Danio rerio: one gene and its partners. The protein of the gene in region 1 purifies or fractionates together with the protein of each later gene. This does not show direct contact. Links are inferred from orthologs where the notes say so. Each region holds a gene or a part of one and is shown on either strand. Other genes may lie near its edges. The genes, in order: med19a, polr2k and cdk19.

The links.
Region 2: the proteins of med19a (region 1) and polr2k purify together in Homo sapiens (affinity purification with mass spectrometry; 3 studies listed by BioGRID and IntAct, with this or other methods). This does not show direct contact. The link is inferred for Danio rerio from reciprocal best matches to the Homo sapiens genes MED19 and POLR2K.
Region 3: the proteins of med19a (region 1) and cdk19 purify together in Homo sapiens (affinity purification with mass spectrometry; 7 studies listed by BioGRID and IntAct, counting the BioPlex papers as one, with this or other methods). This does not show direct contact. The link is inferred for Danio rerio from reciprocal best matches to the Homo sapiens genes MED19 and CDK19.

The regions. Positions count from the first base shown.
Region 1 is NC_133189.1:26,391,270-26,395,026, forward strand, and holds the end of med19a (mediator of RNA polymerase II transcription subunit 19-A), read right to left. Parts: intron 3,083-3,757; coding exon 2,986-3,082; intron 2,906-2,985; coding exon 2,817-2,905; intron 417-2,816; coding exon 351-416; 3' UTR 158-350; downstream 1-157. UniProt on the Homo sapiens protein: Component of the Mediator complex, a coactivator involved in the regulated transcription of nearly all RNA polymerase II-dependent genes.
Region 2 is NC_133194.1:13,081,054-13,084,810, reverse strand, and holds the start of polr2k (DNA-directed RNA polymerases I, II, and III subunit RPABC4), read right to left. Parts: upstream 2,443-3,757; 5' UTR 2,363-2,442; intron 2,099-2,362; 5' UTR 2,097-2,098; coding exon 2,036-2,096; intron 1,839-2,035; coding exon 1,746-1,838; intron 1-1,745. UniProt on the Homo sapiens protein: DNA-dependent RNA polymerase catalyzes the transcription of DNA into RNA using the four ribonucleoside triphosphates as substrates.
Region 3 is NC_133195.1:3,040,263-3,044,019, forward strand, and holds the start of cdk19 (cyclin-dependent kinase 19), read right to left. Parts: upstream 2,229-3,757; 5' UTR 2,101-2,228; coding exon 1,973-2,100; intron 1-1,972. Other genes in the region: amd1 (S-adenosylmethionine decarboxylase proenzyme), read left to right, coding at 3,314-3,423.

The DNA of each region.
Region 1 (3,757 bases):
ACCTCGATTTCTGCTGTGACATTCGAATGGTATGGTCAGAATGTGGCATCAACAACTTCAGGCTAGTGATGGTGTAATGGTGTGGGGGATATTTTCTTGGCACACTTTATGATCTGTTATTGTGAACAAAAAAGAAAGAGTGTGTTTAAAGACTGTATAAAGAATAACAAAGTTTATTCCTTGAGCTTTTCATCATAACCAGAAAAAGAAGTCAAAAATCATCAACAATTGGCCCTTGTAAACATCAATCAACCGCACTGGTCCATATCAGATTCTCTAACACAGTTCAACATCACTTCATGTGTGCAAACATACATACAAACAAGCACACTCGCACACACACAACTGTTCTATCTCAGGCTGTTGCTGTTGGGTTGAGATCCAGTAACACCAGGATGATCAGGACTGTGTCGATTCTAAAAGAAAAGAGGGAACAGACCAAGACCTTTTAAATGCATTAACAAGACTAAATGGGGTGTACTTTAAATGTGACAGGTCCCAGCAATAAACAAGTAATTATTCTACAACATAATTAAGGTATCAAGTAGATTCTAGGGACATATTCTACACTGTGCAGACCATCGATTTGATTTTGAATGCCACTAACATTGAGCATTTAATATTGTGTTATAGGGATGCGCAATATTGGAAAAAATATATCTCTGCAATATATTTTACAATATGAATAAAATTTCACCAGATGACTGTCTCTATTTGGAAATAATTTATAAAATTAGATTCTTATAATTACTATTTTTAACATTTTTGGGGTCCTCTGGCACATTTTCATTGTGGTCTGTGCTATTTGCAGTGCATTTCTGTATTTGCATGTGTTGCGAGTATTTTCATGCACAACAATCTATAAATACAATCAAGAAAAAGATACAAATAAAGTGTTTTAATACAAATAAAGTGTGAGTCTAACAGTATTCAAGTAAAACTTGAATGATAAAAATAAAAAATAATTAAAAATTAATTGTTGTTAAAGTCACAAATGGTACAATTTCATATAGCTGAATGTTTTTAAAATCATTTATACAATCAGCGGCATCAAAAACACATGCAAATGTGCGATGTGACTATAGCGAATGATCACATTGTGATATTGATGCTGAAACAATATGTTGTGCAGCCCTAATGTGTTATATTTTAATATTATTTATAAAATGTTATACTGCAAAATACTGTCTTGTTTCCTATTGTGAATAACTTATCAGTTACTTAAATCAAGACACATTTATTGAGAAGCAAGATGTCTAAAGTAAGTTTGAAAATTTATTTAGTTTTAGTAAAAGATAAAAACAATGATTTTATTCAAATAAATTTAAGAAAAAAAATTAAATCACACACACATGCATACGGTTTAAAGCATAAATGAGTTGCAACCCTTTTGGAAAATTCCTATTTTTTTTAATCAATTTCTCTGTGAATCGTCAATATATTTTGGTGTTGTATCAAACTGTTATATTTATTCAAATTAAATTAAATCGCCTAACGCATTCAGGAATAGAGAGACAGAAAATTTGTACAAAAAGTTTCTCATTAAAGGTGCAGTAGGTGATCTGCCAAAATGCTAACCGGTTAGCATAATATCTTAGAAAACAGTCCCACCCCTATTTTTCAAAGCCACGCCTCCTGAAATCACAAACACGCACTGCAAAGATGACAGTAGACAGCCCACTAACTCTTGTCATTCGCCAGTTGAAAAACTTTACAATACTTTATTACTGTAAAGTACAAAATACTGTATTATATCCAGCATGTTTTCAGTCGTGTAGCAAGCAAAACTTGTCATAATGTGCAATATTTCATCCATACAAGGATCGTTGGTCTCACTCTCTCCCACGTTTTGTCCTAAAGCCACTACTGTATGCTTAGTGGTTGGCTGGCGGGTGCAGGAATTACACTTTCGTGCATATAACACATCCGTGAAACAACAGAATCTACATCAGCTTTGTGTGACTTAATAGTTTTAAAACAGAACATGACCTGTCTAAAAGAAATACTTCAGCCATGGTCTCGTTCTTCCTCCAGCATAAAAACTAACTTCAATATTGATTCAGGATTATAAAGTTTTGTTTCAGCATTTGTTTTTACTGGTCGCGCTCTCTCTCATGTGCACGTGAACGCACGTGCACACACAAACGGCAGATTTGCACGAATAGCAGCGCAGATGTACAAGTCTACATTTGTTGACAGACAGTTTGGGCTACTTATCAGAATTATGGGAATTAACATTTTTTAGTCTTATGACTTACCCAGAATACAAAAATACATGTAAATACATTTAGATCATTTAATTTAATCATTACTATAGGAATGTGAAGAGACTTTCAACCTGCACATCAAAAAATGTTTCTGTAGACAATCACCTACTGCACCTTTAATTAATTTGGCTGGTCTCATTTTTAGACCGTGATGTTAAGTCTTTTTGTTAGATCAGTTCCAGTCTTAGCTTTAGTACTGACTAATCTAAAGTATATATGCACAACTATATTAGTGTAAAATATTCATGTAAAAGAGGGCGCATTCATTAAGCTTACACATCCTTTTAAATGTAAAATAAACACAGTTTACTGTTGAAATAATATTTGTGTGAAGCAAAAATGATAAATAATTATAAAGAGCATTGTTCAAGGCTGCTCAGATGTTACACCAAAGCAAAGCTGCTTCCTATGTGTATACATTTTTAAAATTTTAATAACGCATTATTATTTATACAGGAACATCCTGTAGCATTCAACCTTGTTCAACAATACACTTTTTAATTATTGTAAATTTGTAAGATTCTGCGCCGCATCAACAAAGTGGCTCACCTTTTTTTTCTTCTTGTCTTTCTTTTTCTTCCTGCGTTCAGGTTCATTATCTTTCTTTTTCTTCTTCTTGGTGGGGTCAGTGCGGGTTTCTGCACAGGGAAAGGAAGTTAACATGCATGTGGTGCACAGAGGAAATAAAATGTGAAAATCCATGAGCTTTTGAAGTGACCTAGCGGTAGAGGATCCTGAGGGTGATGATGTCTGTGTTTGTGTTTGCTCTTCTTCTTTGGTGGCTGTATGTGCATCAGTCTGTACTGCTCAGGAAGCTGCAACACAAACCAACACTATAAAGATGAAGCTCAAAGAACACATTTAGATTGCTTTAGAAAATATGCTGTCTACATCTTGTTTAAAAGGGGACCAATTGTGCAAAAATCCCTTTTAAAATGGCTGATTTATACTTCTGCGTGATCGCAGTGATCCACGGTGCCTGCCTTGCGGGTAGTCGTGCATTTATACTACTGTATACATGCTGTTTGTGTTGCTCTGCAATAACACTTCCGTACACTTGCTGGCAGTAGGTTATGTTCCTCTGTGTCGAGTATCTTCATGGGTATTTCGTTTTTTCTGAACGCTACAAGTAGCTAAAACTCACTCATTAAGTGGCTGTTTAACTGGGAGAAAAATAAAGTGTCCATTCTAGTAATCTAAACAATGTGAATTTGATATGAATTATGTATATCTATTAATGTTAAAAAATAATTATTGCCATTTCAGAAGACTTCAGGATTAAAAGACGGAGAGTGAAAATAAAAATCTGATGGAAAACACATATAAACTGAGATTTACAAGTGCCACTGGCCTCTTTCTCTGGCTCAAAATGCTTCAAGCCACATTTAAACATTTGCTATCATTGTTCATTTGTAATGAGAGAGATAATAACAACTAAAAAAACTCCTCGATGGTGTTATCAAGACTTTTAGAAAAAGGAAAAAAATAGC
Region 2 (3,757 bases), on another chromosome or scaffold:
CTAGTAGGGTTGGGTCGATGGACGAAGCCATCGTCGATAGACATATCGATGCTGAGCTGGCATCGCTAACCTCCACCCCACCGTAGCAGCAATCCGTTTGTGAAAAATACACACTTAGGCCCCGTTTACACTAAAGCCTGATTCATACTTCTGCGTCAGGTGACCGGCGTAACCCACGGCGCAGGCAACGCGCGTGGCTGTGCATTTATACTTCTGCGCGCTGTCTCTGTCGGTTTGCATTAACACTTCCGAAACGCTAGTTGGCAGTGAGGTGTAAATGTTCCTCTGTGTTGAGTTTCTTCGCTACTTTTTTGCATTTCCTGAACACTTCTGGGATGTACAAGTGGCTCAAACTCGCTCATTTTAAGGCAGGAACCGGCGGACGTGCAACAACTTTAACTATAAGGTAAACACAAAACAAAACTTTCCATCCGGAGCTCCATCACGGGACTCCACACTTGTAAACAATCGCTCGCGCGGCGTCGCGCCATTCGCGCAGCTCTCGGTCCCGCCCAGACTCGTCAGCGCTACCAAGCCGACCAATCACAGAGCTTGCGCTACGCGTTGTTGCGATGTGTAGTTACATTTTTTGAGAGGTGCACGTCAGTGACGGCGATGGCCACGGCGAAGGGCTATGCGTCAGCGCCGTAGCATACGCCGGTGTTTGACCCAGAAGTATAAATCAGCCTTAATACATCTTAGTTTTAAAATGGCATTTTAGAACAAAAGCGACCTACGTCCACACAGGCGTTTCATCTAGCATTTCTGAAAAGCCTTCCTTCCACTCGATATCGATGAAAATGCACACTGTTATGCCTGCAGTATACATTCGTATCAGAGCTTCAGACATTTTGGTCTTTTGAATCTATCAGGTAATGTGTCACAGCATCAGTACACTGCTTCGGTGTTTCGCTTTCATGCTTATACTTAGTAATTTTAGTGAAAACCTCAGATACAGTTGGTTGGTTGTGCACCTTTTTTTCCCAACCAAGTTTGTCAATGTCATTGTAAAGACACAGATCACTCTATTGGCCTATTCATGCCAGAGTCCAATGGAAAAAGTGATTGAAAGGTGGTAATTTGTGTGCAACTTTATTTATTTTTGATTTGGTTATGGGTAAAACAAAGACCTTGTGGGTCAGGTAGTTGAAACATGGGCTACAAATAATTAATCCGTTATGAATTAATAATTAATTCACTGACGCCTACAATAACGATGTTATCGTCCATTACTTTGTTTCACATTATACATCATATGATGGCAAATTGGTCAACATCGCCCAATCCTATTAGCTAGTGTGCTCCAAAACAGTGACACAATATGCATTTAGAAAATGTAAAACTAATAAACATCCAGAGCTTAAAATTACATCAAATATGTTTATTTGAAATTATTTTTCACATGTATGTGTATTTTCAAAATGTAGGAATATACGTGTTCCCCAGTTTGTACATAAGCTACCAGCAGCTGTGAGATTTCAGTTAATTTACTTTTATTATACATTAAACTACAAACTAGTGTACTTTTCTTGGCTATCAAGTAAAATAAAGAAGTATTGCAATAAGTTTTTTCTCCTTAACCTCTTACTAAGGCTAACTGTATTGTTGTATCCCTAGTTACTATATCATGACATATCTCATTATTAGCAAATGAGAGGATTATAGCGTGAAATTAATTTAATCAACTTTTTTTGTCGTATCAACCAGGCCTACCACAAAGCATTGGTTTAGTTGATAAAGGATACATCTTTTGGTCCTCTTTTTGTACATGATCCTGTAACCACACTCTCTGCATCTGATGGGGTCTCTGGCCTTGATCTCGTTTTCTGTGTGACACTCTGAAACAAACACACACACACACACACACACACACACAAAATTTCAAGCTCAAAAACAGACTAGATTGTGAACATCTTGATTGTTTAGCATTAAGAAAGAAATGACTGATTACAAAAATATAATCAATACATAAACCTTCTAATAGATCAATATACATATAGATTATAAACATAAATACAATCAAAAGAGCAATCACCTCCACAAATGTAGATCATTGGCTGTTGTTTGGGGGGCTGAATGTCTTTCTGAGAATCCATGGCTTAAAGCAAACACACAAACATGATTATATAGTCTAAATTGAATAAATTCATTAGAATATTACACATTATTTGACCTAAACCTATCGTAAGAGCACATTTAAGAGATGCTGCACTATGCACAAACACGTTCTTCCATTATAAACCCAACAAGACACGTAATTCATCATATTAAAATTGCAATAAAACCCCGCACATATCATTCATCCTGTCATTTATCAGTGTACAAACGAGTACGAAATGTAAACATTCAAAGCATTAGCTACCTTTCACGCGTGAGCTCTCTGTTTGCTTCGAAACGTTTTTCGTTCACGCATGCGCACAAGCGACATCACATCACAGTAACGAACAATGCTATTGGTTGGCAAGAATTGAACCAATCTCGTCATACGCCGCCAGGAGGGAGGACATTACCATTTTACGCAGAGACTTACAGGTTCATCTGGGACTTTTATTTTATTACTGCCAGCAATTTCAGATGGCGGAGAAAAACTTCGCGGCGACGTTTTTAAACATTCATTTAGTGACAGACGTACGTAACCATGAAGACGTATTATTTGTGTACTTTTTTGTTTAACGCTAATGGTTTATATTAATTCATGTGTAACGCTGTTATTAAACCTGTCCTGAAATTGTGAAACAGTCTAAACACATTTATTTACTAACAGAAATGTGTTATTATTAATGAATAATTATTATTTGATTTTTTGTATGAGTGAAATGTGTTTCGTACATTGTCACTTGATTTGTCGGTGTTGTTGACGGTCTCAGAGCAGGAAGTAACGTTAGTGAGTCGCAGCTGCAAAAACTGCCAGTAACGTTAAACGTTCAGCTCTCGGGTAAGTTTGCAAAACTTTACTGTCAGTATTATATACTATTATATGTTTTATAGGTATAACCAGATAGTCTGTACACTGTTAGTATTTATGTTTGTAATGTGTTTTTTTTTTACTGGCAGTCGTAATCCCGCCTCACCCTTTCAGTTTCTGTTTCTCGGCAATGTGTTTAATACATATCAACATTCCCATTTATAATGTGTTTATAACGAAGGTATATGTCAGAACAAGCTGATCCAGCCAATTGTCATTTATTCATATTAATAGAGTTACTAATTATTGATAGCTGTTTATCTTTTTGATATACTGAAATGTTTTGTTACTGTTTCAATAATACTGAAATACTGCTAATTCCTTAAATATTATTATGATTTTTTAAAACTAATGTTCATTTTTAGAGCAAAAGATAGATATACTTTGCATTTGAAGGTAATTCAAATCCACAGGACACATGTTGGCCATTAATAACTAAATCAAGTGTAAGCACAAGTAATTAAAACGGTTTATGAAATGTAATAACATATTTAAATTATTTAATATTCCATAGTTATCAACAGGTGTATGCATTGTAACTATTGAGGGCAGCAATATTCAGAAACTATCCCCAAAAGACATCTCAGAAAGATATTCATGTTTTGTTTTTATGTTGAATGTCTAGAATGATTGTATTGTAATCAAAATGGTTCCGTCAGTAACATTACAGTTATACAATAGATAATAAACAACAAATAAGACTTCCTATTAGCAGCGCTTTTGTACATTCTCACATTTTTAGGTCTCCCAACTTATAAATTTGGACGTTTTATATTGTTGTTCAAAATAAAA
Region 3 (3,757 bases), on another chromosome or scaffold:
GTGAACACAAACCAGCTTAAGGCTGTTTATACTTCTGCATCAAGCGCACGCGTATGCTACAGCACAGCCTACGCGCTGACGCATAGCCCAACGCCGTGGCCATCGCTGACACGCACCTCTCAAAAAATGGAACTACACATCGCAACGACATGTAGCGCAAGCTCTGGGATTGGTTAGCTTGGAATCGCTGACAAGTGTGGGCGGGACCGAGAGCTGTGCGAGGCCGATGAAGCGATTGTTTACAAGTGTGGAGTCCCGTGATGGAGCTCCGGATGAAAGGTTTTGCTTTGTGTTTACCTTCCCTAGTAGCAAAGAATTCTGGCCCAGATTTGGCATAAAGCTGGCACAGCAGGCATTCATCCGGCACTGGCATACAGCATGTGGGCCAAACATGGCCCGGGTTTGGCAGAGGCGGCACACAAGATTTGGGCCAGATGAAAAACGTAGTATTTGGCCCAGATTTAAAAATTTGATAAGTGGGCCATGTGAGTTTGGCCAGTTTTGACCCACATTTAAAATACACTAAAATCATTTTTTAGTAAAGAAAATAAATTCTACCAATCAGGTCACTTTGAGAAAAAGCGTGCCCATAGTGTGCCTAAAGCGCATCACTCCATGGGTTTATCAATTTCATTGCAATCGTGACACACCAACCTATCTGGCCCAGTTCAGGCCCAGTTATGAGTTATTAACTTGGCTGAGACTTGGCCCAGATATGGTCCGTGTTTGGCCCTTGTCTGGAAGCCAGATTTGGTCCAGTCATGTACCGTAATTCACTGCGGCATGTGGGCCAAGCAAAACCTGATTGTGTGGGCCACAGCTGGGCCAGAGAAACTTTGCTATGTGGGTTATGATTAAAGTTGTTGCATGTCCGCCGGTTCCTGCCTCAAAATAAGCGAGTTTGAGCGTTCAGAAAAAACAAAACGCCAGCGAATAAACTCAACACAGAGGAACATTAACACCTCATTGCCGACAAGCTTTTCGGAAGTGTTATTGCAGAACATCAGAAATAGCGCGCAGAAGTATGAATGCACGGCTACGCGCGTTGCATGCGCCGTGGGTCACGCCGATCACTTGACGCAGAAGTATAAACCAGGCTGTACTCTCGTACTTATCAGGGGTTGCAGCAGCGGAATGAACCACCACAGAAAATAATATCACACAGATATTTAAAAAATTGGAGATGCGGTGGCGCAGTAGGTTGTGCTACTTACTGCATCGCCACCACATTTTCATCTTTTCACAAAGAAACTTTAGTCCTGTTTCGAATCTGCTGCTATGCTTTAAATTTAAAGTGACAGTAACCAAAACAGCATGATTTGGATCAAAGCCTAAAAGGGTCCATTTCAGAGAGATATAAAACATTATCTGTGTGGTATTTTGAGCTGAAACTTCACACACACACTCTAGAGACATAAGAGACTTATTTTACATCTTGTGTAAAGTGTCATAAGAGGACCCCTTTATTGAGCACACATTGACTCCTGTATAAATAAGAGCACACACACACACACACACACTGCAAGCACGTGAACTCGATCACAGATGCTCCATAAACTCCAGCACGCAAGAGCTTGTGCACTTATGAAGAAGTGGGCAGCTGTTATACTGCGTAAATGAGTATGTCAACTCGTGCACAGGTGAGCCTCTGAATTCCAGCACATGTAAACATGACATCTTCTCATCCGAGCACACAAACTCACAGTGGACTTCAAACGCATGCAACTTCTGGACAGAGGAACTGATTTGCAGTGAACTCCTGCACACAAGAGTGAAACATGCATCACGCTGGCTGGTTTGGGGGTGGACCGTTTGAAGTGCGTCCATGAAAACAAAAACAATCACACACACACACACGCAGGCTACAGAAAACAGCGCAATTCCCCCGACACATATGAAGCTCCTGCACACCCAGAGACAGCAGAAGCGCGTGCAGTGAGTGAAACGCGTCAATCAAACGCGTGTCTCTTACCCGTCTTTACGCTTCGCTTTATAAACATGCCCGTATGTGCCGCGACCCACTTTACAACCTTCATATTCAAACAGATCTTCCACTCTCTCCCTCTCGGCGGCGAGCTTCGTTTTGAAGTCGTAGTCCATTTTAACCCATAAATATTTCTTAATTTACAAGAAAATAAAATATTAATTATTACATGCATTAATTAAATGATCCGATCGTTTTTATTACCCCACCATTTCCTTGTTTGGGATTTTGGTCGGCTCCGCTTAACGGTCACGTGCTCGGTGACGTATTTTATTGTGGCGGGTTGCATTGTGGGGAGCGTAGTGCCGTTTGATGGAGCGCCAGCTCGAGTTGACGGCGGCAGGACATCTGAAAAACTACAGCGAACAAATCCTCCTTTCGTCTTTCCACTCTGATTCAAAACTAACATTTCTGAACGTTAGCGCTTGGAGTGTTTGCACAATGGCAGAAAAAAAGCTTATAATAACTAAACATAATTAATAAAATGTGTGGAATACATAACCTAACAGTTTTTTTCTTTTTCAAAGAGAGTGCTAGATAAATGGGAGTCAATTATTTGTGCAGTGGCTCAGCGTTATTCACCTTATTCTCAGCTGACGAGCGGGCGCTGCCATTTGAATCTTTTTGTCTCGCGACTTCCGGTCACATTCACTTCCATTCATTTTTTGACGTTAACAACTGCACGTTACGCTGCTTGATGTTGCAATTTAATATTTTCTTATTATATTATGCTACTTGGTCTGTGTAGTCATGCAAACATTTGTTTGTTGAGCAAGTAGTTTGGCCATTTTCTGTCGTTTATTATTCCTAGTCATTTCTCCCATAGGCGACTGAATCGGAAGTTCTAAGACAATCGCGAAAACAGGCGCACTTCCGCATTTTAGAATAAGGTCAATAGCAACGCAAATGTTTGCTCATCTATACAAGGACACACACTCACACACGCGCTACTACAGCGTGAACTCATACTTTTACGCAACATCCCGCTTGACTGATATCCGTTCAACCAATCGCTGTAGACCTGAGGGTGGCTCCCTCGCCGCGATTGGCAACGACGAGAATGACGTCGTCGGGTAGGTAATAAAAGCTCCGCGCAGACTGCCGTTCTGCGCTTACACAGTATGGCCGGCGATATTAGCTAGCACTCGCCTACGGTATTCTCTGTAAAAGGGAAGACGGTAAATACAAACAAAAAAATAAGGCAACTACATCTGGACTGCTCAAGGACTGTAACTAAGCTATTAAGTTATAACCGCCAACGAAGGACTACATAATTTGTGATTCCATCCGACGGTTTATTTTCTGTTGTTGGAGTCTGTTTGTCTCACGATGGAAGAGAGCAGTGCACACTTCTTCGAGGGGACCGAGAAGCTCCTGGAGGTGTGGTTCTCCCGGCAGGACGAAGCCAAAGGAACCGGGGATCTGCGCACAATCCCTAGGTGAGTGAGTCCGTCCGAGCCGCGGGTGCCTCGGGCGGAGCGGGGCTGGATTTCACCGAGCCAGACGCTCCGTTTGGGGCTTAAATCGTGTGTGAAACGCTGTGATAATGTCAGGAGGTCTGGCGGAGTGACATGTGGCGCAGGCTCTGACACCCGTGGCGTGATCAGCACTTCTGGCCGTTTTTGACACCATCCCCCTTTAGACTCATTCATTTCAGCTGTCAGGACTGCAGCTCAACTCCAGCCCCAGCGAGCTGCCCATATTGGCAGTATTAGCTCGTTCACTGCGTGCTGTTAATCACTGCAGTGCACGCGCGTTGTAAATCATCAGCTC